Caenorhabditis elegans: one gene and its partner. The protein of the gene in region 2 interacts with the protein of the main gene of each other region in a pairwise test. Each region holds a gene or a part of one and is shown on either strand. Other genes may lie near its edges. The genes, in order: rip-1 and sws-1.

Region 1 (14,949 bases), on a different chromosome or scaffold from region 2:
TGGATCGGCGACGAAGATCAGCTCTTTCTTGATTTTATCGAGTTTTCGGTTCTGTTGGAACGGAGCACTTGGGAAGACCGGAGGAACACAAAGATCACGGGATGCGTTCGGTTGAATGATCACTTGCGTTTTTGTGCTGAAATTTGAAAATTATCATTTTTTTGCAATTTTCAAGGAAATTCAATTGTTCAAAAACCAACCCGACAAGCGTCTCCTTAACTTTCAAGAGCAAATCCTCCAACAAATTGTCATAGGTAATATTAAAAGTGGGCTTATTCAAAAACGTGTTCTTCTTATCCACAAATGGCCCAGCCAGCATCAAAATATCGGGCTTCTCGGCAACGACTTTGTCCAAAAGCTCACAGAGATGCTCATACCCACAATTGTCCGTCGCAGTGTACGGACCACACGCAAACCAGATTTCTTCTGAAAATTTTGGTTTTTATTGATGTTCGTGGCCGCGTAAAATAGAAAACTAAGCCACCAACATTTTCTCGGCCAGGCTGGAAAAGTTCGAGATTTTCAGGAAAATCGAAAAAATCTTAAAATTTTCGGTTTTCCGATATGTCGGAAAAATTGATTTTTTAGTAATTGCTTGAAAGTTCGGCCATAAAAAACTTTTGTTAACATTGTGCTAAAACCTTACTCGTAGTGTCAGTTTCAACGGGATTCACTGGAAGTGCCGCTGGCTGGAAGATCTTGTCAACTTGAAGCTCCTCGCCAGTCTCATTGGTCCCACGAACAGCGATAATTTGTCCGGGGAAGAGAGTTATATCTTCTGTCATTTTACTAAAATCCATTCGGATCATTGTGCCGTCTTCGTCGTCTGGAATTTTTTAGATTATAATCATTTTTTATTTTCCAAAAAAAATATTCAATTTTTTTTTGAAATCGATTCCAAAAACACTTTTTTTTCGGAAACTTTTCAATTTTTCATAAGTTCCGGGGTTTCTCTATTTTTTGAATACACATTTTTTTGACATATTTTACAGTTTTCTCGCTTTTTTCGTAAATTTTTTTCAAGTTTTTGAATTTCGATTTTTTTAAAAAGATTTTCAAAAAACTTAAAAATTTTCATTAGTTGATTTTGCCTTTTTCATTGAAATTTCGAAAATTTTAAATTTCAGCTTATAAAAATTATTTTAAAAAATTGATAAAAACAAAATTTGTGAAACTTTCGTTTTTTTTTTGTAAAAAAAATTATTTTAAAAAACTCGATATATGTTTTTTCAATTAAAAATTTCCAATTTTTGAGATTTCATAGATTTTTTTCTAACAGAAATCCTAATTAGTTTGAAGTTTAAAATCAAGAAATTCTTTTGGAAATTGAAATTTTTAACAATTTTTCATGGCTAAAATTCAATTTTTAACTAAAAAATCCCATAAAAACGAATTCTCACTAATCATAAGAGCAACAGAATGCTCTCCAAATTTCTCATTATCCTTTGTCTCATCATGAATCACTTGTCCATATGTATATACAACATCAACTGACGGTATCGATGGATTTCCCCAATCGACAATTTCTTCGAATGATTTTTGGATACGGTGAGCGATATCTGCCATTCGTTGTGCTTTTGCTGAAAATTTGTTTTTTTTGTGAAAACTTGAATATTACTCATAAGCGAAATTTGGTGCCAAAAATACGGTAACGAGTCTCGACACGAAAATTTTCGTTAAATGCAAAAAGATGTGCACTTTTAAAGAGTACTGTAATTAGAATTTTTGAGAAAAACATTTTCTAAATAAAAAATTCTACCTTCAATAACCATAGAAGATTTATCTCCACCATACAATGTACTCGGCGTTTTCGAGATAATTCTTATAGTATCATCGCTTTTTGTCGATCCTTTCAATCCTTTATCCTGATACTTCTTCCCTCGAATAGTTGTGACAACATGTGATGGATCGGCTCTTTTCAGGAATTTCTCATTAGCCGGGGAACCGGGAAATGGTGAAAAGTCGAGAAAATGTCCTTCAAGCTTTGCAATCGCTGAATTTGTGAGGTGATGTGACGGTTTTTCAATGTCATCGGGGTCGCCACTTAGGATGAATCCACTTTTTTCTGCGAGCGGAACACGGCCGCGTCTGAAATTTAATGCGGTTTTTTTCGAGACTTTACTTGAAAATTGATATATTATTAGGGCGCAGAAAAATTAAATTTTTATCAAAATGCAAGTGCGCTCTACGGCAAAATGTTGGGTCTCGTTAGGTTTTTTGAATTTACAGTTTTGCCGCCAATACCTAGCGAGACCCAACCGTTGAGGGCGGAGCGTTCTCACTGGGCCGTGAAGCGCGTTTGCGAAAAACTTTTTGAAAAAAAAAACTGAAAAAATTAATTTAAACATTTTTAGATTTCGAATTTTTTAATAACAAAACGAAAATGTCTTCAAAAATCAACAGAAAAAACACTAAATAAATTTTATTTTTACTGTTTTTTTTTTTGAGAATTTTCGTGAAAAAAATTTAAAAAAAAAACATTTAACTGTCGATTTTTCTCATTTTAAATAGATTTTTGCTATAAATTTGAGTTCCAATGCAAAATTCGATGATAAATGTAATTTTTCACTCAAAAATCTGCGATTTCCTTTACTTACGCCGGTTTTTTCACAGATCTCGGCGTGTGCACAGTTTTCTGGGCCTGAGCCTCCAGATTCTCCTCTAATTTCGCCAAAATTCCAGAGTCAACGGACTTTTGCCCAAGATTGCTCATCACCGAAACGACATCATCGACAATATCCTCACCGCTCTTCCGGAACGTTTTGCATAGTCCTTCTACTGCAAAAATTCAATATTTTGATGTTTTTTCCGATAATTATTGAATAAAAACTTACATTTTTCAATAAAATGATCTTTTGCGGGACAATTAAAGCCAAATGGCTCAAGATTATCGTTAAAATCTTCCAAATCGAACTCGTATGCCATTTTATGACGGGAAAAAGGAAGGAAATTGATGAGAAAATGGGTGAGTCGAGTTGAATCTCGCGCGCTCTCCTGTTTTGCGGTAGAGCGCGCTTGCACTGTGAAAATTCGAGCTCCGAGGCACGGAGCCCCCGCAGAAAACAAAGAGTTACTTGGGAAATAGAAAATAGGAGATAGAAAAATAAATAATTTGAACTTTGTTTAGTAAAGTTTTTAAAGTTTTATTATATTACTTCGCGCATTTCGTCACACATTTTTTGTGCACACTTGTCAAGGGTGTTCCGATTCCCTCCCCCGACGTTATCAATTGTGGATTTGCCATAGCCACCGAGACACATAGGATTTTAGCTAAACAAGAGTACGCAGGCATCTCAACGAAAGACGGGGCGATGGCGGGAGCCAACAAAGTGTAACATGGGAGAGAGCACGGGAGCCGACGAGTTGCAGGGGCTCCGGGCTGCCTGCGGGAGAGCAACAGGAGCAGCAGGAGGCACCCGCAAATCCTTGCATATTTACTCCGCTCTCACACACTCTCGCCGTTTTTCGCTTTTGACTAGAAAAGTTGCAATTCTTCAGCCTTTTTCAGATCGAAAATGGCGCAAATCGTCCGGCAGAGTAAATTCCGGCACGTGTTCTGTAAGCCCGTCAAGCATGAGAGCTGCATGTCTGACATTAGGGTAAATCACTAGTTTCATGAAACTCCTATATTATAGAGAAAAACCTCCTAGAAAACTGTGAAAAGCGGATTTTACTACGTAGCCGCAAAAAAATCGGTGGCCGAGTTTTTTCTTCTTCCATCCTTTAAATTTATCTGAAAAAAATTTTTTACAATCCCCTGGATTCGATTTTTGTGGAAATGCACATTTAAGAACGCAGAAAAATAAGAAATTTAAATGTTTTAATTTTTTTCAAAATTTCATAGAACTCCAACACTAAATCAAATACCTTTTTCAACAAAAAAAATTCTGCGAAACATATTTTTTTATTTAACTTTAAATATATGCGCAGTTAATTCAGTTATTTTCTAAACTTAGAGAGTTATTTAATGCCAAAAATTGAATTTGTCACGTGGCCGTGAAAGAGAAAACTCGGCCACCGATATTTTCTTTTGCGTTAAAAATTATTCTGAAATACCAATTCATATTCTTAGAAAAGTTTAAAAAAAGAAAACACCTTTTTTTTTCCAAAAATTTGAATAGATTTTTAAAAGTATAGAAAACTAATTAATAAATAGTTTTTTATTGTTTAAAAAATTTATATATGAAAATACAGTACCCGCTATTTAAAGGCGCCTTAAAAACTTGAATTCAACCTTTTCAGGTCACAGAAATCACTTGGGATTCATTATTCTGCGATGTCAATCCGAAATTCATCGCCTTCATCAACAGAGGGGCTGGTGGACCATTTATGGTCATTCCAGTGAATAAGGTAAGTTTTTTATACAAATAAAACACAAAAACCCCACCTGACAAGTGTTTTCAAATGTTATTTCCGGATTTTTAATTTTTTAATTATTTTTTTCCGAGCATGATGATCAGCAACTCAACAACACCTGTTACCTAAGGGGTCGGAAAACAAAAACTTTTAAAAAATTATTGAATAAACCTTTAGAAGATCAATAATTTTTAAAAAAAAAGTTAACTGAAATTTTGTGAAAAACCTACACCTATAGCTGTGTATCTGCAAAAACACCATTTTGAAATCTTCCTTGGTTACTAAAGTTTTCAATTTCTCTGGAAACTTAAATTGAAGCAGCCGACATTTCACGTTCCTGCTATCCAAAAAATGCCAAATATTTCCAGATCGGTCGCGTCGACAAGGACTATCCATTCGTGGATGCTCACAAGGCTCCGTGCCTCGAAGTCGCATGGAGCCCGTTCAACGACAATGTTATTGCATCGTGCTCCGAAGACACCACATGTAAAGTGTGGGTGATTCCGGATCGTGGGCTCAACAGAAATCTCTCAGAACCAGCTGTCGAGTTGACTGGTCATCAGAAGAGAGTTAACACCATTGCGTGGCATCCGGTCGCTAATAATGTTCTTCTTACTGCTGGTTAGTGAAAATTAAAATTATGGATACTGTAAGATTACTGATGATGTTTTGGGATTTCTTTGGGTTACTGTCGATAAGTTAGGCTATCTAGGGTTACTGTAATATTGGTGTAGACGTACTTCTCGGCAATTTTGCCGCAACTTCTCACCCAATTATAGGTACATTGTTATCAAGTTTAGCCAACTTCAGGTAGTTTTTCAGTGGAAATTTTTGAGGCTTATTAGAGACCAGCCGATCTATGTTTGGACATTTTGTTAGAGTACTATATGATTACTGTACTACCAGAATCTAGAATATCCCTACAGTAACCCAAGTAAAAATGAATTTACTGTAATTTTACTTTCCAGGCGGAGAAAACGTAATGTTTATGTGGAACGTTGGAACCGGAGAGGCACTCCTCGAAATCTCCGGGCACCCCGATCAAATCTGGAGCATCAACTTCAACTTTGACGGTAGTCAATTTGTGACTACCTGCAAGGACAAGAAGATCCGTATTCTTGACTCACACACCGGAGAGGTTGTTCACGAGGGAATGGGTCATGAGGGTGTCAAGCCGCAGCGAGCCATTTTTGTGAAAGATGGGCTCATTTTGAGCACGGGCTTCACCAAAAGATCCGAAAGATTGTATGCTCTCCGAGCCCCGGAAGATCTGTCAACCCCAATTGTCGAAGAGGAGCTGGATACCTCGAATGGAGTCGTCTTCCCGTTTTACGATGAAGATTCCGGTTTGGTGTACCTTGTTGGAAAGGGAGATTGTGCTATTCGGTACTATGAGGTTAACAACGATGCTCCGTACGTACATTATATTAATACTTACACTACAAATGAGCCGCAAAGAGCTGTTGGATTCCAGTCGAAGAGAGGAATGTCGTCGGAGGAGAATGAAATTAATCGGATTTATAAGTTGACTACGAAGGGAGTTGTGGATATTTTGCAGTTCTTTGTACCGCGCAAATCGGATCTTTTCCAGGTATGCGGAGTTTTGAAATAAGGTTTTGTTCTGAAAAGTTGTAGGTTAACAATTTTGGCTCGAAAAATTATTTTGAAAAATTTCCTACAATTTTTTAACTGAACCCATATTCCAGCACGATCTCTATCCGGATACCAGATCCACCATCCCAGCCCTTACCGCAGAAGAGTTCATGGAAGGTTGGCTGGAAATTTCTTTATTTTTTAATTGTCCAGTGTATTTTTCAGGTAAAAATGCTGCACCAAACCGTCAGCCAGTAAATGCAGCCGCTGCTGCAGCTGCCGCCAAACCAAAGGTCCAGGTAGCCAAGAAAGCCAATATTTTGAGCACTTTGGCTCCGACTGCGTGAGTTTTTGAAAAAGTGAAAACGCTTTAAATTTTTAGAGAAAATTAGGTTCGATTAAATTTGTTTTGGAAATTGTAAAGCGAATAAATTTTACTTTTAAGAATATTGAAAACAAACTCGTTTTGAAAATTAAACCAACATATTTTTTCTAAAATGTTTCTTTTTAAAAAAATTCAAGAATGTTTAATAATTCCTACTCGAACACCAAACCACCAAAAAAAAGTCTTCTATTGTGTTTTACAGTATTTAAATAAATAAAAAACTTATTTCCTGCCAAACTTGAAACTATATGGCTTAGAATCTCCAACAAAAAACTGAAATGGTGGCAAAAATCTGAAATAAATATCACATAAAAAACCTTTCAGAAAACATTTTAAAAAATATGAAAATGCCAACAAAAAACAATGCCATTAATCTAAATTTTCGGTTTTCTAAAGAATTTTGTTTTCAGAAATTAAAAATGCTGGAGAGTTGAAAATAAAAATTAATTTTTATTATAATTTCTAATTTTTTGACATAACTTTTTATTGAAAATTCTTTTTCTTTAATATCAAATTTTTTAAAATTCCAGCGCCGAATCAGTACCCACCCAATCCTACTCTGAACGTCCACCGTCATCTCAACAACCATCACCACGTCCATCTGCATCCCCGAGACCTCGTCCAGTTGTTGACGATGATATGGGAATTGTTACAATGAGAGAAGCACCGCCAAGTCGTCCAGCTTCATCAAGAGCTTCTCGAACTGAAATTCCCCCAAAGGAGGAGAGCAAGGTTGATCCAATGAAGCCGAAACAGGCGGTGAGCTTTTTTTTTTGTAAAATTTAGAACTTGAATTAATTTAAAATTTGGTTTTAAAAATTTGCTGTTCTAGCCTTGGAATTGAATCATGGCCTAAAAATTTAATTCTAGTCCACTGACGAGGAAAACTTCTTTCATGACTTTTTTAAGACGGTCAAGAATTTTTATCCCCCAATAATCCCTTTCTATCCCGCTGGAAATATTTTCAAATATGTTATCAAAAACGAGGTCGCCGGAAAATTCTATTCCACCATATTATCAAGCGTGGCTGAAAAAAACTTAGCCCGCCACTTGCAAGGGCGTGGCCTAATTTTCATTTAAAAAACCTTTGCCACGCCCGAGAATGTGGGGGCCTTTGATTTTCAGCTGATTATAACTGCTAAATCTAATAAACTTAAGTCACAAATTGTATTGAAATTCATTTTTGAAACTTCTAGGCCACCAAGTGCTCGCACGTGGCCTAGGAAATCCAAATTTCTCAATGTGAATTTTTCTAGCTCATGTGTATTCAATTTGCGGCCTAGGATTTTCAACTAACAAAAACTGCACATTCATTACTCAATTTTGATTGAAAACCTTGCCAAAATCAATTTTCAAAAGTTCTAGGCCACCAACTGGGCTCTCGTGGCCTAGGGATTTTGCCGATCGCTTCTTTTGAACTAAATTATTTAAAAAAAAACTAATGCTAATGATCCCCACTTCTCCAAAAAAGCACCATCCTATCACTTTCACCTTTTCCATTTTTCCAGGTTCAACTGAAATCCCGTGCCGCCCGTGATGAGCCCGGAGGCGGTGCTCAAACTGCCGGTCAGAGAAGAGCCGCCGCCGAGTTGGAAAGGATCAAGAGAGATCAGTCAAGAACCGCCGATGAGGACAACACTCTAGCTCCACCTCCATCTTCTTCCCGAGCTTCTGCATCGCCACGTGGCAGTGTATCAGCTGCGTCTGACGTAGGGGCACGTGTTTTTTACTGTGCTTACCAACTAAAATGTTGTTTTTCTAGAAAACAAAAACACGTTGACTTTTAACCAATTAGTAAGAAAATTAACAATTTTTGTGGGCCGTGGCCGAGTTTCCAGCAATAAGAATTGGGAACTTACAAATTAAATTTTAATTAAAACAAGCTTTGAAAAATTTCAGTTTAGTGTTTTACTTTAATTTTATTAAAAAAATGTCAAGCAACGTTTTTTTCTAATTTTCAAAAAATAACTATAAAATATGTTTTTCAAAAATAGAAATAAAATTCGAAAAACCAATTTTCCAAATTCATTAACATCAACTGAAATCTTTAAACGCCACGGCCTAGAAATCGAATTCTAGGCCATGAAAAGCCCCACCGTAGCCTAGGATTTTCCCACTACTAAAATGTACATTCTAATATGTTGTTATTGTTTTTGTGTTTTATAATAATATTCGTTTTTCTTCCAAAAATTGGACCGACATATTAAAAATTCAAATTTTTTATTTTCTAGGCCACCAGTAATACTATCGTGACCTAGATTTTGAGAATTTAATTTTTATCCAATTTTGCCCTTTTTATTTTCTAACGAAAAATTAATTATTCAAAAAGTTTTCTTATCCAAAAACGGGTGGCCTAACTTTTCTAAAGGCCCCAGAAAGCCAGGCAACTCCAAAATCCCTTTTTTGTTTCAAAATTTACAAAGGTGTTATAGTGAAAATTCTTGTATAATTTAAAAATTAATTTAAATAAAAAATTTCCAGCACGTGCCTCAGAACATGGATGAGCTTTTGGAAGATCTGATGAAAATGAAAGCTGTGCTTCGGCAACACGAACGTCGCATTCGGATGCTCGAAGAGGAGATTGCTGATCGTAATATGAGCAATGCTTATTCTTTTTGAACATGTTTAATTTTTTGAAAGAAAACTTTTTTTTCGAAAAAAAAAATTTCAAAAAAAATATCGATAATTTTTTATTTGTTTGTTTGTAAAAAGTGTGTTGTATTGTATTGCAACCTAATAAATGGTAACTTTTTCATTTCTCTTTTTTTTATTTTTCATCTATCACTTCCCGGGATTCCGGTTTCTCCCCCTCCCCACAGTGTCCCGAGGAGGCTACGCCGCCTCCACACTTTCGATTCCGACACCCGATTCAGGCGCGAATTTCCCTTATCTTTTCTTCTCGCTTATCAACTACACAAATCCACAATCATCTCAGTCTGATATAATCCTTATAAACTTTCCAAAAATATGGTCCCTCGTTTTCTAGTATTCTCAGTTTTGGCTTCACTTGCAACTGGACCACCGACTGCTGACGCTTTCTTGGCTTCGGCGTTCTCGTCGGTATCTCAGGCGGGAAAAACAGCAAATTGTCATGATTGGAGTGAATATGGACCTTGTTTCAGGTGATTTTTAGGAGAAAAACCAACATTTTTGGTGGGGAGGGTCGTGGGCTCCCATGCAGTTTTAAAAAATTCGCTTGTCCAAAGCTTTTTTTCCCGTATATTTAAGAAACTCTAAACTATCAACAAAATCTATTACATAAGGCGGCAATCATGACGTAACAGCTGAAAAATCGGTGGCCGAATTTTCTCTATGACGGTCCCGTTTTGTTTGTAAATTCCTATTTTTCAAAATTGCTACAAAATTTTTTTTTCAATTTCCAAAATCAATTTTTGAAAACTTTTCTTCTTTAAAGATATTGATATCACGTTTTTCTTATCATTTGACCTTATCATTAAAATATCACCTGAATCTTTAACATAGGTCGACGCTTACCACGGGGTCGCGGGCAGAGAAAACTCGGTCAAGCTCAAGAAATTTGAAAATCATAGCAATTAAACCGTCCATGTAAAAAATAATCAATGAAACCAAGATGTTGGAAATTGTTTTTTTTTCATTTAAAAATCTTCCCTCGTACATAAATCAACACCCACAATGTCAACACATTTTAATGGCCTAGTTTTCCACTGCTCTTCCATTTTCAGCACTGCAGACCGATCATTCTGGCGTACGCTTCCCCAGCAATGCTACCAAAACCGTTACATGTCCCTCATCACAGGAATCGGTAACCCAATCGTTCAGAAAGTGATGGACTACGCGGAGCTCTTCAACAAATCGGCGACGGCATGCGGAATGTGCAATGTTCAAGTCGCGTGTTCACCCAGATGTGATTATGTAGCTGGGTAAGGGTGACAATTGCAACACGCACAACAATAAACAATTCATATTTAGAGGCAATTCAATCGGTGTTGTCGACCGGATTTGTGATCTTCCAACCGAGAAACAGGCGTGCGCAATGACTCCACAGGCATTTGACGAGGACACTGGACTTTGTAGAGTATGGCCACCGAGGTGAACTTTTCATTTTTTTGGTTTTTTGGTTTTTTGAATGTGGAGTAGCCAGGCCAGTGGGGGAAAATATAAAAATCGCAAAAACTTCAAAGTTTTTTGAATAACTTTTATTGACAGTCAAAAAGTGACATCTACTAAGTTTTTTCCACTTTTTGAGAAAATTAATATTTGGAGTATAAGTGAACCATATAATCGAAGGAACACTTTTTTATCGAAGACTTCCAAAAAAGTGGCAAAAACTGAGGTGTTTCACAATTTTCAAAAAATTATATAAAATTTATAACTTTTTTCGAGTTTATCTTAATAAAACACTCCGAAAAATTTTAGTCATACAAAAGGGCAAAGTTGGCAAAGTAGGTAAAGTGCCAAAATTTCAAAAAATTTGACTTTTTGAGAACGTTCGACCAGTCACGCAGATTTGAACCCCTACAATGTTTATTTACAAATTTTTTAAACAATTTTAAAACTAGAGAGTTGTAGAAAAAATACCATTTTTTGATCGAGTTCCAAAATTGCCAAATTGCCATTTTTTGACTGCGTTAAAAATATTTCCAAAATTGTTTACTATCGTATTTAGCCTTTTTAGATCTTAAAAAAGCCATTGGAAATTTTTTTGATCTTTAAATCTTTAAATTTTCCTTTCTTTCTAATTAAAATTTCGAAAATATAGATACCTAGGTTGAAATGGATTTTTTAATAGTCGAGAATTTAGCTGAAATTGTTGTATTCTTTTTAAAGTAAAAAACTTCGCTATTGTTCAATTAAAAAAATACCAAAAAAGTGTGTCAAGACAATTTTTATAATGGTGGACGAGAAAAAACTGAACCCCTAAAATTAATTTTTTTTAAATTCCAGACATACTACAGCCGTGGATTTCCTTGGTGCAATTGTCCCACCAACAATTCGAGATCAAGTATGGTCCTTAAAACCGCTAAGCTGCATCAGTATAAGCGGAAAATGTTATTGTTGCTGTGCTCCGTATACTCCAAATCCATGTGATGCTCAATGCACACTTCATCCATGTTCCCGGCGGCAAACATTTTCAAAGACTCAAGTCAAGATTTTGAGGCGAAAATGGCTTCAGAAACAAGAGGAGCGACGTGAGGAAGAGGAAGAGTGATTTAATTTAAATGAAAAAATCAATAATAAATTTTGAAAATTCATTTAATAAAAACCTTAATAAAAGTCTAAAAACAATTTGAAAATTTTTCTTCGTTTCCATCAAACAATAGCACATTCTTTGTGTAGATTGATGCGACTCGCTTGAGCTTTTCCAGGAATTCTTCTGAAAATTTTTTAAAGTTTTAAGGTACTTTCCAGAATATATTTTCTGAATTTGGAAAATATAGAAAACTCACTTTAAAAGAATCTGGTAATTTTAAATGGGTCAAGGCTGAATCTGAGAATCCTAGGCCACCATAGAACGAGTGGTGGCCTAGAATTTTTCAGATCTAAGAATTTGGTAATTTCTTAGACCTCGGCGTTGTTCAGTGTCACAAGTGTTTTCAGGAAATTTGCAAAATTACGTATTTTCCTGGGAATAAAAAAAATTACAGCAGATTCCTGGAGTGAGTCAAAAACCCTAGGCCACGGTAGTACGCGAGGTGGCCTAGCATTTTCAGTAAGTTTTCAATAAGTTTTATTCAAAACACATCGAATAAAACTTATTGAAGTTTATTTACGATTGGAAAAACACTAAACACACTATTCGAAAATGTTAGGCCATGGTTTACATAGTTTCAATTTGATTGAAAATTTTTATTTCGGCCGGCCACTTTTTGTTTACCTTGAGTTTGAGTTTCGCGAGGCTCATTACTCAATTCCTTTGGATTTTCCACGATTTCTTCCTCCAGAAAATTCGCATTCTCAAATGGATCAGATTCCTCAACTCCTTCCTGCTTCTAAAACCATTATCAGTTATAGTTTATAGTTTGTAGTCTACAATCATTACCTCATCATCATTATCATCTCTCAAATCAATCACGACGACCGCGCGGCCGTCATCTACATTACAAAAATTGGCGAGTGCGGCGAGAAGGCAACCGAGTTCCGGGCAGTCCTGCGGGATGCTCATTGAGCAGAAAATCGCTGCGACTTCAGAGCCGATGCTTGCTTTGAGCGCTATGTCGATACATCCTTGCAGAAGCTTCTTGGAACTGTAACCAAAGCGAATTCTTCGCAGAGCGCCAGCTTTCATCGAGAACTCCACGTCGATTTCAGGGATTCTGAAAATGAAATTTGAAGTTTCCCTATCACCGAAAAACGAATTGTTTCAGTCAAGTTTTGAGTCACTACCCGCTATGGAGATCAATTCTGTATAATTTAAAAAATCAAGTGGCCGAGTTTTTCCCCATTTCGCGACCACATATTATCATATATGTTACGAACCACGTGGTATTAGGCTGTCCCATTACGGATTGATCTACAAAAAATGCGGGATTTTTTCCTAAAAATGTGACGTCATCACACTCTTAACCATGCGAATTCAGTTGAGAAGTCTGCGTCTAAGCTCCCGCGATTCTCGTAGATCAAACCTACATGGGACATCCTGACACCACGTGACAAACCTCTCCAACGCTTTCCGTCTCGCCCAGAAAATCGTATCATCCGGATTCTGGTCCGCCCAGCGGATTGCCTTGGCAAATAGGTGATCATCGATTTTCGGGGAATCAGTAAAAACTACCGTTAGGGAATTGCACGATTCTGACATTCTGGAATTGATCTACTCTGAGTGTGGCCTAGAATTTCACAAATATGTACACGTAAAAATTACGGCAACTGAATTTGATATAACAAAATGTTAGTTCTCCAAATAAATATATTCATCTTCAGAAAAAAAAAAACGTTATACATCAACATGAATATTCCAAAGATCATGAAGAGTGAATCCGTTACGAATCGGTTCAATCGCCAATCCCAACTCGGGGTTGAGCACCGGTAGCTGCTTCTCGTCAGTCGCGGTGTGCTCCCCGTCAAAGTATGAAGCAAACGCGTCGGGACGGATTTTATCGTCGATTTCTACGTCATCTTCGTTGTTGTCTATGATGTCGATTTCATCGTCGTCCTTGCGGGGCTCTACTTTCTGTAAATGTTTGGTTTTATTTGAACGTTGCAAAATTTTCTAATTTTGCTGAATCATAGGTCAACTTTTGCTGAGTGATCACTTTTATAAGGTGTGGGAGCGAAATTTTGAAAAGGGTCGAAAAAATTGAGCATTGTGGTTTTTGAGGCAACATCCAAAGTTCAGGGAAAGTTCCGCTCACGGCAGTTCAAGTAAGTAGGGTACTGTAGTTTAGGGTAGGATCCTACGTATTGTAGAAACTATAAATTATATAGCCTATAGGACGAGTTCCAAAAAGCCTTTATTTGAAAAATCTGAAGATGATTCTTCATTGAATCATGTAGTAAGGTGCACTAAAACAACATAATGCTAGGAAAGTCGGTGACGTTTTTCATTTTAAAAATACCTCGGCAATCTCCTTGACATACGAAACTCCAAAGATTGGCTTCAACAAATGCGCCTTATGAAGTGATTGTACAGTTTTCAGAAGATTTTGTAGACGTTCAGCAGGATCAACTCTGAATCCCAACACGTACTCTCCGCTGCTGGTAGTTGTCTCAAGAACCAGCGCCATTCCAAACTTGGACTCTCTAACTCTGACTGAATATAGAGTAATGTAGGGGACCGAAACATTGTATCCGATGTTCATCTCTGCGTACCAAACGACACGAATATTCGTGATCACAAAGACTCCGAGACTTCCAGTCTCCGTCGACAGATTCCAGACACCGTTCACCTTCTCGATGATCGTCTCTTGTGGAAGGATCTTCAGAGTTCCGTCCTCACGAATAAACACCCCGCGCATTTTGAGCTCTCTGTACATTTTGGTGGTCTCGTAGGCTCTGCTGATTGATGAGATCGTATTGAAAAGTTTCGAATGAGATGCAGGATTTGTGGTGGTGAAGATGAACTCAAATTTTGTAGTGGTCGCCGAGACTTTGGCAAGTACGTAGATTGCTTCATTGGATATACCACGGTTTCTTGTGACTAGCTGAAACTTTTTTCTTGGAAGTTAAAAAAAGATTATGAGTTTTGATAGGTGGCCGCGAAAAGTAAAACTAGGCCATCGATTTTTCGTTGCGAATTCGACAGTAGAACCCACCGAAGTAGTCTGTTTGCTCTGTACTCCGGTGATCGCATTCCACCCAATCGTGATATTGATCCGAGGCATTGAGGCGGCATGCCAGATTAGGCGTAAGTTGGTGACTCGCATCGTTCCTGAAAGTGTGTCAATTTTTCAAAAAAAAAATCGCGCTTCTTTCAATTTTTCTCTAGTCTAGAGTTTGTAAAGTATGGGCGACCCTAAAAAGAAACGATGCAAATCTGCAAATCGGCAATTGCCGAAAAATTGCCGGAATTGAGGGACGAATTTCCGTTCTAATTGTGACAGCGATATTCAATTTTATTTCGTTTTTTCTATTGTTTTGTTATTTTTTGTATTTTCTTTTAATATCGTATCGATTGATCAATGACTTCGGTAAAT
Region 2 (15,685 bases):
GTAAGATCCGGTGCTTTGGGCTACTGTAGTCGGAGTTTGCGTACTTTCGAGGCTACAGTAACCCGAAAAAGTCAAAAATTGAGCTTAAAGCTTGGGGAAAAAAAGTTTTTGGCGTAGAATTCGACGGGGAATTCAATGAAAATAAAAATGTTCGAAAAAAAATTTGATAAAAATTTTTTTTTTCAATGTTTTTTTCAAACTTTCAAAACCTTCAAAAAATCAATAATCTTACCTGTGTAAACTGCGAAACCGTTGCCCTTATATTATGCGGACACAACTCCGAAATCATAATCGGTGCCATAACCAACATTCCCAAATTGACAGCACATTGGCCTAAAATCGCTGAAAAACACGCGAAAATCCATCGAAAATCGATATTCCAACCGAAATTATTCGCCATTTCAGGAATACTCATTCCGAGCCATTCAAAGGCGCATAGCCATGTGAGTAATACAAAAATTGGGCGCCGCCCGTATTTTTCGATAATCAGTGGGGCGATGAAGGAAACCGGCAGGGATACGGTATTGATTACCATTATTGCTATTGTTGAGTTGGATTGTGTTAGACCATATGATATTAATATATCTACCAAGTATTGAGATTTAATGTTTAGGCCTGAGAATACTGGAACCAGGGAGCACATGAAGACCAGGAATAGGGAGAATCTGAAAAAAAAATTTTTTTTTGAAAATTTTATGTTTCAACTTTATATCAAAATATACTAAATTTCAAGGACTTCACGAAAAAAATTATCGAAAAATCTCGAATATTAGAAAAATTACAGTAATTTGAAGTTATGAAGTTTCGTAAAAAATTCAAATTTTCAGAAAAAAAATTTTTTTTTTTGAAAATTTTATACTTCAACTTTATATCAAAATATACTGAATTTTGAAGAATCTACAGAAAAAATTATCGAAAAGTTTCAAAAAATAGTAAAACTACACGAATTTGAAGATATGAAGTTTCGTAAAAAAAATCAAATTTTCAGAAAAAAAATCAAATTTTCAGAAAAAAAATTTTTTTTTGAAAATTTTATATTTTAACTTTATATCAAAATATACTGAATTTTATAGAATCTACAAAAAAAATTATCGAATAATCTCTAGAATTAGTAAAACTACACGAATTTTAAGTTATGAAGTTTCGGAAAAAAACCTCAATTTTCAAAAAAAGAAGTTTTTTTGAAACTTTTATATTCTAGTTGTATATCAAAATATACTGAATTTTATAGAATCTACAAAAAAAATTATCAAAATATTTTAAAAATGAATAAAATTACAGGAGGTTATAGTTATAAAGTTTCGTAAAAAATTCCAATTTTCAGAAAAAAAAATTTTTTTATTTGAAAATTTTATACTTCAACTTTATATCAAAATATACTGAATTTTGATCAATCTACAGAAAAAATTATCGAATAATCTCTAAAATTAGTAAAACTACACGAATTTGAAGTTATGAAGTCTCGTAAAAAATTCCAATTTTCAGAAAAAAATTTTTTTTTGAAAATTTTATACTTTAACTTTATATCAAAATATACTGAATTTTATAGAATCTACAAAATAAATTATCAAAAAATCTCAAAAATTAGTACAATTACAAAAGTTTGAAGTTATGAAGTCTCGTAAAAAATTCCAATTTTCAGAAAAAAAAAATTTTTTTGAAAATTTTATACTTTAACTTTATATCAAAATATACTAAATTTTATAGAATCTACAAAAAAAATTATCGAATAATCTCAAAAATTATGTGAATTACAAGAGTTTGAATTTATGAAAAAAGTTAGCCCTCACCTATGATTTCTATTCTGTAAAATGTCCAAAATTCCAGAAGTTTCCTTTTTTGCCTGTTTATTCTCATGTATCATTTCCTTTATTGCTTCATCGATTTTCTTTTCGTTTTCATCGCCATAGTAAAACCGGAGAGCTCGCCGAGCACCGGCTTCATCGCTTTTTTGGATGAATAGGTGTTTTGGCGATTTTGGTAGGAATATTGTTAAAATTAGGTGAATTGTTGCAAGTAGTGCAGTTATACATGGAAGGAACACCCTGGAATATTAAAATTTTAAGTTTAAAATTTTTTTTAATTTCGAAAAAAAAATTTTTATAATTTTTTAATAAATCTTTTTTTTTTGAAATTTCTCTAAAAAATTCGAATTTTCCATCAAATTCCACGGCTAACCCATTTTTCCCCAACATTCTAGCTCAATTTTGAGTTTTCCGGGTTACTGTAGCCTCGAAAATACGCAAACACCGACTACAGTACCCCAAAACACCGGATCTTACGGAATTTTGCACTAAAACCCTAAAAACTGAGGTTTCGGGGTGAAAAATGACAAGGAATTCGAATTTTACACTGGAAATTAGTTTAAAGCTCTCAGAAAACTTGAAATTTAAGGTTTTTCCAAATTTTATTATTTTTGTCAATTTTCGGCATTTCAAAAATTATAAACATGAAATTTCAACAGAATTTTTAAATTTCCGATAAAATTCTGCTTGAAAAAGTTTTCTGGAGCTTTTTGGTCAAAAATTGTAAAAGTCGGATTACTGTAGCCCCATAAGTACGCAAACACTGGCTACAGTTCCCCAAAACACTGAATTTGACGACATTTTACACTAAGCTTTGAAAAAATTGTGATTCGGGGTAGAAAAAATGAGTAATTGGAAAAATAAGATTTTTTCTAGAAATTCGATGATTTTTTCAAAAAAAGTCAAATTTTGCTCTCTTTTCAAAATTTTCACGATTTTTTCAAAAAAAGTCAAATTTTGCCCTCTTTTCAAAATTTTCACGATTTTTTGATACAAAATTTGAATTCCCCGTCACTTTTTACCTTTGAGCCCCAGTTTTCAGAGGTTTAGTGCAAAATTGCGTAAAATCCAGTGTTTTGGAGTACTGTAGTCGGTGTTTGCGTACTTCCGAGGCTACAGTACCCTGTAATTGTCAAAATCGAGCTAGAAACTTAGAAAAAAATGTGGTAGACGTGAAATTTGATGAAAAACTCAAATTTCACAATATAAATTCTAAAGTTAAAGTCCGAAATACCGAAAAATTCGAAAATCGCAAGTTTTCATATTTTTCCAACATTCCCAAGTAATTTTCAACACGAAATTCGAATTTCCCGTCACTTTTCACCCTTCTACCCCATTTTTCAGAGTTTTAGTGCAAAATTCCGTGAAATCCGGTGTTTTGGGGCACTGTAGTCGGTGTTTGCGTATTTTCGAGGCTACAGTACCCCGGAAAGCTCAAAATTGAGCTTGAAGCTTGGGAAAAATAGTTTAGACGTGGAATTTGATTGAGCATTTGAATTTTTATAAAAAATTGCAGAACAATTTTACGAAAAAATTTAAAAAAATTTTTTTTCGAAAATTTGAAAAAAAATGTTTTTTTTTGAAAATCAATATGCTTACTAAAATAAAGACCCAATACTCTTAAAATTTCAAATTATCATTCAAAAACCCACCACAAGGCCTCATTTCCCCATATAGAGGGAAGACACAGCGGAGTGACCAAAAGTGTCATAATAACCCCTCCGGAATTAATAAAAAGTGAAGTTAGTCCTCTTTTCGAATCAGGTGAACATTCAGCTATCCAAATTATTAAAACTACACGAAAACCCTGTAACATTCCGGCAATTAGGTGACCAATCACGTAGAATTCGAATCTGTTCAGTAGGAGGGAGGTGAGCATTGCCATTGAGCCAATTATTCCTAGGAAGCTTCTGGAATAAACATTATTGTAATAATGAAACATTGAATTAGAAAATAGGAAAAAAATTGGATATTAAAAAAATTAAAATTAAAAAAATTTTGCGAAAATTTTTTTTTTCAAAAATTTTTTCTCCATATTCCAAAAAAACCATACCTTAGTAAAATTGTCTCTTTCCGTCCAAGACCATCCATTAATTTTCCCATAATCGCGAATGAAATCGCCAAACCGATGAACATAAATGAGGCGCATGCCGAGAAAATTGTCTCGAAACTGAAATAGAAAAAAATATTGATTTTTCGATTAATTCTGTTAAAATTATCAATTTTTCAATACAAAATTTGAATTCACCGTCCCTTTTTACCCCTATATCCCCGTTTTTAGGGGTTCAGTGCAAAAATCCGTAAGATCTGGTGTTATGGGGTACTGTAGTCGGTGTTTGCGTACTTTCGAGGGTACAGTACCCCGGAAATGTCAAAATTGAGCTAGAAGCGCAGGAAAAAATGTCGTAGATTTAAAATTTGACGAAAAATCTGAATTTCACATTTAAAATTCTCAATTTAGAGTCCGAGATACCGAAAAACGAAAAACATTCAAAAATCCCAAATATTCTTTTACAATTTTCCAACATTTTCAAGTAAACTTTAACGCGAAATTTGAATTTCTCATAACTTTTTACCCCTAACCTTTAGTTTTTACGGTTTCAGTGCAAAATTCTGTAAGTTCTGGTGTTTTGTCCGAAATACCGAAAAATAAGAAAAATTTAAAAATCACAAACTTTCATGGTTTTCTAATTTTTTCTAGCAATTTTCCGTGCGAAATTTGAACTCCCCGTCGTTTTTTACCCCTAACCCTTAGTTTTTGCAGTTTTAGTACAAAATTTCGTCAAATCCGGTGTTTTGGGGTACTGTAGTCGGTGTTTGCGTTCTTCCGAGGGTACAGTACCCCGGAAATGTCAGAATTGAGCTAGAAGTGCGGGAAAAAAGCACGAGTACTTAGTTTTTACGAGGATTTCGATTTTAATAAAATTTCTAAGCAAAAAAAAACATTGAAAAATTTTTTAGAATTCTTTTTTTGAAAATTTTCTGGTAAAAATCCAATTTTTCAATTTTTTTTAGACATTGTTCATAGTCTAACCTAATTGAACTTATTTCTGTACTATCAACTGATAAGAAAATTAAACGTAAAATCGTAAATTTTTTATCAGAGACCTACCATAGTGCACCAATTCCATGTGATTTTTGAATATTTTTAGAAATTATGTTTTTCCGCATTTTTTCATTGTTGCACTGGTCGGTAAACAATAATAATTATGGAGAAATTATTGATTTTGATCATTGGTTTTGAGTGACATCATTTTTAGAAAACTTTTTTTTTTTTTTAATTATAAATTGAAGCAATAAATCTAATTTTCCTACTTTCAGAGCAAATATTCAAAAATTTTAGCAAAAAAATCAAAATCACCACTCAATTTTGAGTATAACTAGCTTTTTTCCCGAGCTTCTTACAATTTTAAGTTTTCGAGGGTACTGTAGCTTCGGAAGTACGCAAACCCCAACTACAGTAACCCAAAAAAAAATTTGACGGAATTTTGCACTGAAACCCTAAAAACTGAAGGTTAGGAGTAATAAGTAAAAGGGAATTCGACTTTTTCATTAAAAATTGCTAGAAAATTTTGGAAAATTGTGAAATTTTGCGATTTTTGAATTTTTCTAATTTTTCGATACTTTGTTGGACTCTAAATTTAGGATTTTCAATGTGAAATTCGAGTTTCTCATCAAATTTCCTGTCTAACACATTTTTTCCTGGGCTTCTAGCTCAATTTTGAAATTTTTCAGAGTACTGTAGCCTCGAAAGTACGCAAACACCGACTACAGTACTCCCAAACACCGGATCTGACGGAATTTTGCACTACAACCCTGAAAACTGAAGGCTTGGGGTAATAAGTGACGGGGAATTCGAATTTCGCATTGAAAAATCGACAATTTCAACGGAATTCATAGAAAATTCAATATTTTCTCGTTTTTTTTTAAATTTTCAGTTTTAAGCTTTTATACGAAAATTTAATGATTTTCTAGACTTCAGTTCAATTATTTTTCGAATTTTCAACAGGAAGTTCGCTATCCCGCTATTTTTGTGCAAAATGTCGTGAAATCCGGTATTTGGGTACTCCTGGGCCTACAGTACCCAGCGAAATTTCAAAATTGAGTTGAAACCTCCGGAAAAAATTTAAGTTGACCCAAATTTAATGAAACACTTGAATTTAAGCTTAAAATTGGCAAAATCTTACGTCTCCTCACTCTCAACGCCGTAATTTTTGCGTAAACTTTCTCGAAAAAATCCCTTAATCGGAACATTCATCAAATTCAAGCAGGCGGCCATAATTTCTCCGTATTGTGAGAAAACAGCATGTGAAAGTGTTGCCCAAAACAGTCGTCGACTACAAAATTTCATCTGAAAATGTTGGGTTACTGTAGTTTTCGTGGTGGGACCTAAAAATGGGAAAATTTCCAAAGCCTAGTCACGATTATACTCATTCGAACCGCATTTAAGTTTTGATTCTGAATATATAAGCGACTTGAAGATGTTACAGAAATAGGCAAAGTTATAGTAGTTTTTGTGTTTTCGTGGTGGGACCCAAATTAGGAAATTTTTGAAAATTTTCAGAACCTAGTCATGAGTATACTTATTTAAACCGTATTGACGTGCTGAATTCGAATTTCTTACTATCGTAAATCGAAACGCAAAAGCTAGAGAATTTTTAGTGTTTTTTTTTTTTTGAAAAACAATTGGAATTTTTCGTCGAAATTTAAATAAACGAATTAAAAAGTCCGTACAAGCAAAAACTTTTAAATCAATAATCAGTTGGAAAGTTCGACTTGCGGAATCGGAGAAAAAAATGCCCGCAAGAAAAAAAATCAAAAATCGGCGACCTGGAGCCAGCTGCCCCAAAAAAAAAGAAATTTCCCTTATCAGCGCCCTGTCTTTCGTCATTTTTATCAAGTAGTCATCAAGTTCAAGTAAACATTCGGGCGGTGCCAGGTGTTTAGCTGATCGTGCCAAAATTGGAAGATCATTTTTTTGGAAAAATCTAAAAATAAATGTTTTTTTTTGTGAAAAAATATTATCCAAAAATTTTTTGTTAGGTACTCAATAAATATGTATTGTTATCAAAAGTTACTAAAATTCTAAAAAAAATCTACAGAAAAATTAATCCCGCAACGAAAATAGCCAAGCTACAGAAGCTTCGTGGTGGGACCCAAAATTAAAAAAAAATTACGTTATCTTCGAAACCTAGTCATGATTATACTTATTCGAACCGCCCAGAAGTACTGAGGTTGAATATATAATTTTTTTCAAATTTCGACAAAAATTAGCCGAGTTACAGTAGTTTTTGCATTTTCGTGGTGGGACCCAAAATACTAAAATTTCCTAAAATCATCAAAACCTAGTCATGATTAAACTTAAATTGACCGGAATCGAAAACTAAATCTGCATTTTCAAGTAAAATTAGGTTACCTAGAAAATTTGAAAGAATATATTATAAAAACTTAGGAACAAAAAAATTTCGGAAATTTTTTTTTTTGCAAATTTTCCAAAAAAAAATTTAAATATAAAATCAAGTTCTAAACCATTTTTCTTTGTTCTCTGTGCACTTTTCCCCCTTCCAAGTAATAGTACTTCTTATCAGTTTCTTTTGTCTTTTTAAAGTGTCACTGACAAAATAAGTTTCAGCCTGGCTAGAGGTGCCTGGAGTTGGAAAAGGCTTTTTTTGTGATTAAACAAATTAAATTAGAGAATATAAGCTTTATGAATAATATATATATAAATAACAACAAAAAAAACCATTTAAAAAAAATCATTTTTTCTCCTCCAAAAAAATCGATCTTATAAAAATTTTCTTCACAAGTCCAACTATTTCGGATTTACACTCGATCCGTTCGATTTTTCCGAAATTTTTGGCGAAATAGTATGCCAAAATGTGAACACAAATCCAATTAGTTTGCTTTTGAAGCACGGTTGACTGGAAATATGGGCAGGTGCAATAATGGACGCCAGGGTACAGAAAATTGAGGTATTCCTTCTTTTTGTAGTGTTCTACCTGAAACAACGAAAAAATTAGCGAGAAGTGGAGAAATTTTGAATTTGGGCGCTGCTCAGACTACAAAGACTACAAAATTTTAGTGATTTTTAACGAAAACTTGATAAATTACAACGAATTTACGAAATTTTCGCTGAAATTCAACGAAATTAGCAAAAAAAAATAAATAAAAATGAGGTTATTTTGAATTTTTGCGCTGCTAAGACTACAAACTACAAGTTTTGGGCGCTGCTAATTTTTTGGGCGCTGCTAATTTTTTGGGCGCTGCTAATTTTTTGAGCGCTGCTAATTTTTTGGGCGCTGCTAATTTTTTGGGCGCTGCTAATTTTTTGAGCGCTGCTAATTTTTTGGGCGCTGCTAATTTTTTGAGCGCTGCTAATTTTTTGGGCGCTGCTAATTTTTGGGCGCTGCTAATTTTTTGGGCGCTGCTTAATTTTTGAGCGCTGCTAATTTTTGGGCGCTGCTAATTTTTTGGGCGCTGCTTAATTTTTGGGCGCTGCTAAATTTTTGGGCGCTGCTAATTTTTGGGCGCTGCTTATTTTTTGGGCGCTGCTAATTTTTGGGCGCTGCTAATTTTTTGGGCGCTGCTAATTTTTTGAGCGCTGCTAAATTTTTGGGCGCTGCTAATTTTTTGGGCGCTGCTTAATTTTTGGGCGCTGCTAAATTTTTGGGCGCTGCTAATTTTTGGGCGCTGCTAATTTTTTGGGCGCTGCTAATTTTTGGGCGCTGCTAATTTTTGGGCGCTGCTAATTTTTGGGCGCTGCTAATTTTTTGGGCGCTGCTAATTTTTTGGGCGCTGCTAATTTTTGGGCGCTGCTAATTTTTGGGCGCTGCTAATTTTTGGGCGCTGCTAATTTTTTGGGCGCTGCTAAACTACAAACTACAAGTTTTGGGCGCTGCTTAGACTACAAACTACAAAGCGCGCTGCTCTGAAAACCGAAAATATCGATTTTTAAATCAAAAATTGAAGTTTTTAGTGGGAAAAAGGTAGTTTTTAACTCAAAAATTCAAGATTTTCCTATTTTTAAGTCAATTCTTCTCTTTTTCCTGGAAAATAATCGTTTTTTAAACATTTTTTTAATAAAAAATAATATACTTCAATAAAACATCGCTGTTTCTCCCGTTTTTCCTTCTCTTCCACCGTCCATCTCTCGACTTTCTTCGCATTTTTCAGGTTAAACTCGCTTTTCCAGTCGAAAACTGTTTTCTCCTGGAAATCTTCAAATTTTCGACGTTTATTATAGAATTCTGGCTTTGGAACTGCCAATTCTCGTACTTTTCCACGTTCCATTAGCTGGAAACTCTGAAACTTTGAAGTTTTTTGGCTGAAAATCGGGGTTTTGCGAACTGTGGCTGCTGCCTCGTGTTTTACGAGTCCTTCGATCTCGGCCAGGGCTTCTAAGTAGTCATCTGAGCTGCTGGATTCGGAAATTACAGCGAGAAGTGTCTGAAAATGACTAGAATTTTGGAAAAATTCAATGGTTTTTACCTTTTTTGTCAGCTCGAAAACATCCATCTTCAAATTCCCGCTCAAAATGAGCCTGGGGACTAGTTCAGAGTTTCCTAGGCCACCGCCGGTGTACTCCTCTCCGACAACGGGTTTTTATTTTTTTTTTAATTTTCGCTCAATTTTCTTCGATTTTTCGCGATTTTCTTTCAGATTTTTGCAATTTTTTTGCAGTTTTCAGGTAAAAATGCACCGCCTGACACACGTGAGCACTCGAAATCGATCGAGTCTCGCTGAAAAGCTGCGAAACGCCGTCGGAGGTCAGGATTTTGGAAAAGCCAAGCAAATCGTCGCCGGTGGATCGATTGCGGTGAAGGATGAGCATGTATGGAGGATTTTAATGAAGAAATAGCTGGAAAAAGACATTTAGAAATCGAAAAACGGCTCGAAAAATTGATTTTTCAGCGAATTTTACTCCAAAACTCAATTTTTGTCATTTTGGGAGCAATTTTACCCGAAAAAAGCTAAATTTCACTAAAATTCATAATTTTCTCGAAAATTACTCAAAAAAAAACACCCAGAAACTGCAAATTTCACCGGATTTTCACAATTTTTCGAAAATTTCAGAAAAAAGTTCGAAAATCCACGTGGAAATCTCAAAAAACTGTCGATTTTCCCCATTTTTCAGCTATTTTTCTGGAATTTTTACAAATTACTGATAAAAACTCTCAGAAACTGCAAATTTTACCGGGTTTTCGCAATTTTCTGGGCAATTTTTGTGGAAAAATCCACGTAGATATCCTCAAAAACTGTCGATTTTCTTCAATTTTGCACCAAAATCCCCCAAATTTTCAGGGTGAAGACTTCCGTGAGCTCTATGTAATGCCAAAACGAAAACTTCGCGGTCAAACTCAACTGGAACAAGCCACTGGACGTACCGAATACAAAACTCGAAGCCGGTTCGATTTAATGGACCGCCTAACAAAAAGACCGCCGAGAAGTGAAGAAATGGATCCAGAAGCACAGAAATGGTGTGATGTATGGCCAGCTGCACGAACATTTGCATCGTCTGTAGTTCCGTTACCAGTTCGAATGGGCACACGGCCAAATGTTGAGAAGCGAGCACCGTTTAAGAAGGAAGGAAATTTGGAATTGGTTAAAATTCCCAATTTCTTACATTTAACACCACCGGCTATTCAACAACACTGTCAAGCTATCAAAAGTAAACTGAAATTTCGCATTATTAAAAACACTTAATTTTCATCAGTTTCATAGAAAAATTGACAAAAAACAGTGAAATTGGCTTGAAAAATGGAAATTTTGCTGAAATTCACATATTTTACCGAAAATTTGACTTGAAAATGCCAATTTTCACATATTTTTCTCAAAAATCTACGTGGAAATCGATGCTAATTTTTTTTGGGCGCTGCTTAGACTACAAACTACAAGTTTTGGGCGCTGCTAATTTTTGGGCGCTGCTAATTTTTGGGCGCTGCTAATTTTTGGGCGCTGCTAATTTTCAGGCGCTGCTAATTTTTTGGTCGCTGCTAATTTTTTGGTCGCTGCTAATTTTTGGTCGCTGCTAATTTTTGGTCGCTGCTAATTTTTTGGTCGCTGCTAATTTTTGGGCGCTGCTAATTTTTTGGTCGCTGCTAATTTTTGGTCGCTGCTAATTTTTGGTCGCTGCTAATTTTTTGGTCGCTGCTAATTTTCAGGCGCTGCTAATTTTTGGTCGCTGCTAATTTTTTGGTCGCTGCTAATTTTTTGGGCGCTGCTAATTTTTTGGTCGCTGCTAATTTTTTGGTCGCTGCTAATTTTTTGGTCGCTGCTAATTTTTGGGCGCTGCTAATTTTTTGGTCGCTGCTAATTTTTGGTCGCTGCTAATTTTTGGTCGCTGCTAATTATTGGTCGCTACTAATTTTTTGGTCGCTGCTAATTTTTTGGTCGCTGCTAATTTTTAGGCGCTGCTAATTTTTTGGGCGCTGCTAATTTTTGGGCGCTGCTAATTTTTTGGGCGCTGCTAATTTTTGGGCGCTGCTAATTTTTGGGCGCTGCTAATTTTTTGGGCGCTGCTAATTTTTTGGGCGCTGCTAATTTTTTGGGCGCTGCTAATTTTTAGGCGCTGCTAATTTTTTGGGCGCTGCTAATTTTTTGGGCGCTGCTAATTTTTAGGCGCTGCTAATTTTTTGGGCGCTGCTAATTTTTTGGGCGCTGCTAATTTTTTGGGCGCTGCTAATTTTTTGGGCGCTGCTAATTTTTAGGCGCTGCTAATTTTTTGGGCGCTGCTAATTTTTTGGGCGCTGCTAATTTTTTGGGCGCTGCTAATTTTTAGGCGCTGCTAATTTTTTGGGCGCTGCTAATTTTTTGGGCGCTGCTAATTTTTAGGCGCTGCTAATTTTTTGGGCGCTGCTAATTTTTTGGGCGCTGCTAATTTTTTGGGCGCTGCTAATTTTTTGGGCGCTGCTAATTTTTTGGGCGCTGCTAATTTTTAGGCGCTGCTAATTTTCAGGCGCTGCTAATTTTTTGGGCGCTGCTAATTCAATTTTGGGCGCTGCTAATTTTTTTTAGGCGCTGCTTTTGCTAATTAGAAAAGTCTGCAATTTTCAGCGTTTCTCATCAAAAATTTAAGTTTACAATATTTTTTCCGCGTGGAAATTAATATTTCTCGGAATAAATTCTAAAAATAAACACAAAAAACACCTGTACTATATAGAAATTTCTCTATATTTTTTCAGAATTCTGTACTCCATTCCCACCGGAACTCCTCTCCAATCCATCTGCCACGTGTCAACATCTTCCAATTTCCATAGAATATTCTACATACATTCATCAGGGAACTTCAATCCGTGACATTAGAAGCCGTGTCGTAACTATGAAAATCCACGTGGCAGAGCTTAAATTGTCGGAAAATCAAATGGAAAAACTGATTCGACTGGCCGCAAATCGATATGACGAAAAAACGGGAAAAATGACAATTATCACTGATAGATGTCATACGAGACAACAGAATCTCGATTATGCACACTATTTACTAACTGTGTTATATCATGAAGCTCAAAAAGTCGAGAAATGGGATGAATTGAAGGTAGAATTGTGGCGGCGAAATTCTACCAATACTAGAAATATAGAGCTGAAAATCTAAAAATTCAGAAAAATTGGGTGAATTTCGTTTAAAAAAAATCGATTTTCGACATGAAACATGAGTGTAAAAACGCGTTTATATAACGTTTTCCAGGGATTTTAAGAAAACAATTTTTTTAAAAGTTATTTTTTCGAAAATTTGAACGTTTTCTAGAGATCTTTATCAGAAAATACCCGAAGATTGAGCTCTGATAGTTATTTCCCGGTTTTTTTTTTGGTTTTTCCCGAACTTTATCGATTTTTGTGAAATTTATTGATTTTTCTGAAAATTTATCGATTTTTCTGTAAATTTATTGATTTTTATTGAAAATACAGTGATTTTTCTAAAAATTTATCAATTTTTCTGAAAATTTATTGATTTTTCCGGAAATTTATTGATTTTTCCGGAAATTTATCGATTTTTCTAAAAATTTATCGATTTTTCTGGAAATTTATTGATTTTTATTGAAAATTCAGTGATTTTTCTAAAAATTTATCGATTTTTCTGTAAATTTATTGATTTTTATTGAAAATTCAGTGATTTTTCTAAAAATTTATCGATTTTTCTGAAAATTTATCGATTTTTCTAAAAATTTATTGATTTTTCTAGAAATTATCGATTTTTCTAGGAATTTATCGATTTTTCTGGAAATTTATCGATTTTTCTGAAAACGTATCGATTTTTCTAAAAATTTATCGATTTTTCTGGAAATTTATCGATTTTTCTGAAAATTCAGTGCTTTTTGTAAAAATTTATCGATTTTACTGGAAATTTATTGATTTTTATTGAAAATTCAGTGATTTTTGTAAGAATTTATTTATTGATTTTTCTGGAAATTTATTGATTTTTCTAAAAATTTATCGATTTTTCTGGAAATTTATTGATTTTTATTGAAAATTCAGTGCTTTTTGTAAAAATTTATTGATTTTTCTGGAAATTTATTGATTTTTCTAAAAATTTATCGATTTTTCTGGAAATTTATTGATTTTTCTGGAAATTTATTGATTTTTATTGAAAATTCAGTGATTTTTGTAAAAATTTATCGATTTTTCTGGAAATTTATTGATTTTTATTGAAAATTCAGTGCTTTTTGTAAAAATTTATTGATTTTTCTGGAAATTTATTGATTTTTCCGGAAATTTATCGATTTTTCAGCCAAATTTCCAATGTTTTTTTCCAGAACCGCACCGACGCTCTGAAAGTTGAATTCGATGGCTCCAACACCAAAACCAAACTCATCGATTTACTGGAAAAAGCCAAGTTGACGCCTGGATTAAGCCCCAGCGCCGCCGGATGTGGAGATCAAAAATCGATTGACGAATTCGGAGAAATGTGGAAAGCCTATAGAAATAGCGAGGAAACTGTCGAAAAAACGCGGGAATACGGTCGTCAGATGAAGAAATTACTCGGAATTCAACAATAATTTACTGTTTTTTTTTAGTTCTGCTAAGATTATTATACATTCGTCACGAATGTGTAATAATTTTTTTTCTCGAAAATTTTTTGTTTTTTTTTTGTTATTCTAGCAGTTTTTATAATAGATCCCTCAAATTCTGTCAAAATTTGGAATTTTTTCCAAATTTTTAGCCGGATCTGTAATAATTTTTTTGTCCGAATTTTTTAGATAGTTCCCATCTTTCATGTTATTTCATTTTTTTTTGGAAAAATTTATATATATATATTTTCCAATTTTAAAAAATAGTTATTTTTAATGTGTGTAAAAATCAATACATACTTTATGATTTTTTTTTTCAAAAAAAAAAAAGAAGATAGTGTAATAGATTAAATTATCACAGAAAATAGAAAAATTGATGCTTATTTTAAAAAATTACAACATAGGTAAAAATGAAATATATATATGACATATCACAGAAATTATGAAGAAATATGCAGATTTTTTAGTTTTTTGCGGGGAATCTGGGGGAGAAATTGGTGGGAAATTCGAATTTTTGATAGAAAATAATTAAAAACTTTTTTAGAAGTTAAATTTAATTTCGGGAAATACCTTTTTCTCAGAAATTTTTGAAAATTTGCTCTAAAATGGGCAAATTTCATGTTTTTTAATGCGAAAAACCAGAAAAATCAATAAATTTTCCATAGAAATCGATAAATTTTCAGAAAAATCGATAAATTTTCAGAAAAATCAATAAATTTTCAGAAAAATCGATAAATTTTCAGAAAAATCAATAAATTTTCAGAAAAATCAATAAATTTTCAGAAAAAATAATTTTCCATAGAAATTGATACATTTCGAATTTTTTTGTTATTTTCCTAACCAAACGTAATAAATCTTTAAAAATTCTATTTTTCCAGCTAAAAATTGAGTTTTTTCCAAAAAAAAAATTTTTTCCGGAAAATTCGAAATAAAATGTGTTATTTCCTAGTTTTTCAAGCCGAAAAAAATTATTTTTTTCCTATTTTTCCTCAAAAATTCGAATTTCCCATCCATTTTTCCTCCACCGGGGATATCATTAAAGTGTAGAAGAAGAGCACGCAGTTTTGGATCTCTCTTCAAATTCCTGAATTCGTATTTCCAATTGAATCCGTACTTGAGCCAACCGTGCTCTTTCGGCTTCTAATTCCGAATTTTGAGTCCTCAAAGCTGTACAACGTTCCTTCCATCGTTCAATTCCTTGCCCATCAGTTGCCTGAATCTCTTCTCCAATTAAATCGTCGATTTGATGGCCGATTTTCGAGAAAAAGCTCTTCACATCTTCCTCAGAATAGAGTAATTCTGTAGTTTGTGTTGATGAATCTGTTGTGGTAATTCGTTTTTCCTCTTCGATGACTCTCTGCAAAAATATTGTGAATTTTTGGAGATTTTTCAGTGAAAAATTTGAAAAATTTGAAGAAAAATGGTTAAAAATGAGTATTTTTGAATTTTGGCGCTGCTAAAACTACAAACTACAAGTAAATTTTTAGCAGCCCGCCCAAGAAATTAGCAGCGCCCAAGAAATTAGCAGCGCCCAAGAAATTAGCAGCGCCCAAAAAAATAGCAGCGCCCAAAAATTAGCAGCGCCCAAAAAAATAGCAGCGCACAAAAAAATAGCCAAAAATTGTTTAAAAATCATATTTTTGTGATTTTCAACCTGTTCAGAAAATAAAAACTACACTAATTTTCGATTTTATCGCAATTTTGAAAAGTTTTTCTTAAAAATTCGTTAAAACGAATAATTTCAAACTTTGGGCGCTGCTAAGACTACAAACTACAACTAAAAGCTTTCCCTTAACTTACCGGTAGAGGTGACGGTGTGATTCTTTGTGGAATCGGCGGTGGAATACTGTCCGGGGTGGCTGAAAATTTGCGGAAATT

What was found.
Region 1: the proteins of sws-1 (region 2) and rip-1 interact in a two-hybrid assay, tested with the Caenorhabditis elegans proteins (2 studies listed by BioGRID).

The regions. Positions count from the first base shown.
Region 1 is NC_003281.10:10,245,622-10,260,570, forward strand, and holds rip-1 (RFS-1 Interacting Partner), read right to left. Parts: upstream 13,121-14,949; 5' UTR 13,116-13,120; coding exon 12,973-13,115; intron 12,631-12,972; coding exon 12,357-12,630; intron 12,307-12,356; coding exon 12,192-12,306; intron 11,691-12,191; coding exon 11,593-11,690; 3' UTR 11,552-11,592; downstream 1-11,551. Other genes in the region: div-1 (DNA polymerase alpha subunit B), read right to left, coding at 1-136, 201-426, 647-826, 1,401-1,580, 1,760-2,088, 2,598-2,778, 2,835-2,925; Coronin-like protein cor-1, read left to right, coding at 3,516-3,599, 4,243-4,350, 4,725-4,977, 5,325-5,947, 6,063-6,126, 6,175-6,292, 6,865-7,093, 7,843-8,049 and 1 more; R01H10.4 (uncharacterized protein), read left to right, coding at 9,302-9,456, 10,039-10,236, 10,286-10,405, 11,261-11,525; BBSome complex member bbs-5, read right to left, coding at 13,251-13,487, 13,873-14,457, 14,569-14,684.
Region 2 is NC_003283.11:18,971,821-18,987,505, forward strand, and holds sws-1 (SWIM-type domain-containing protein), read right to left. Parts: upstream 9,660-15,685; 5' UTR 9,637-9,659; coding exon of another isoform or gene 9,499-9,636; 5' UTR 9,321-9,498; coding exon 9,294-9,320; intron 9,252-9,293; coding exon 9,153-9,251; exon of another isoform or gene 9,108-9,152; coding exon 8,901-9,107; intron 7,805-8,900; coding exon 7,562-7,804; 3' UTR 7,500-7,561; downstream 1-7,499. Other genes in the region: Y39B6A.41 (Major facilitator superfamily (MFS) profile domain-containing protein), read right to left, coding at 233-665, 1,791-2,045, 3,458-3,715, 3,859-3,975, 5,993-6,156; mrps-35 (Small ribosomal subunit protein mS35 mitochondrial conserved domain-containing protein), read left to right, coding at 9,499-9,636, 10,107-10,473, 11,987-12,336, 13,553-13,795; reps-1 (REPS (RalBP1-associated Eps domain-containing protein) homolog), read right to left, coding at 14,844-15,164, 15,608-15,666.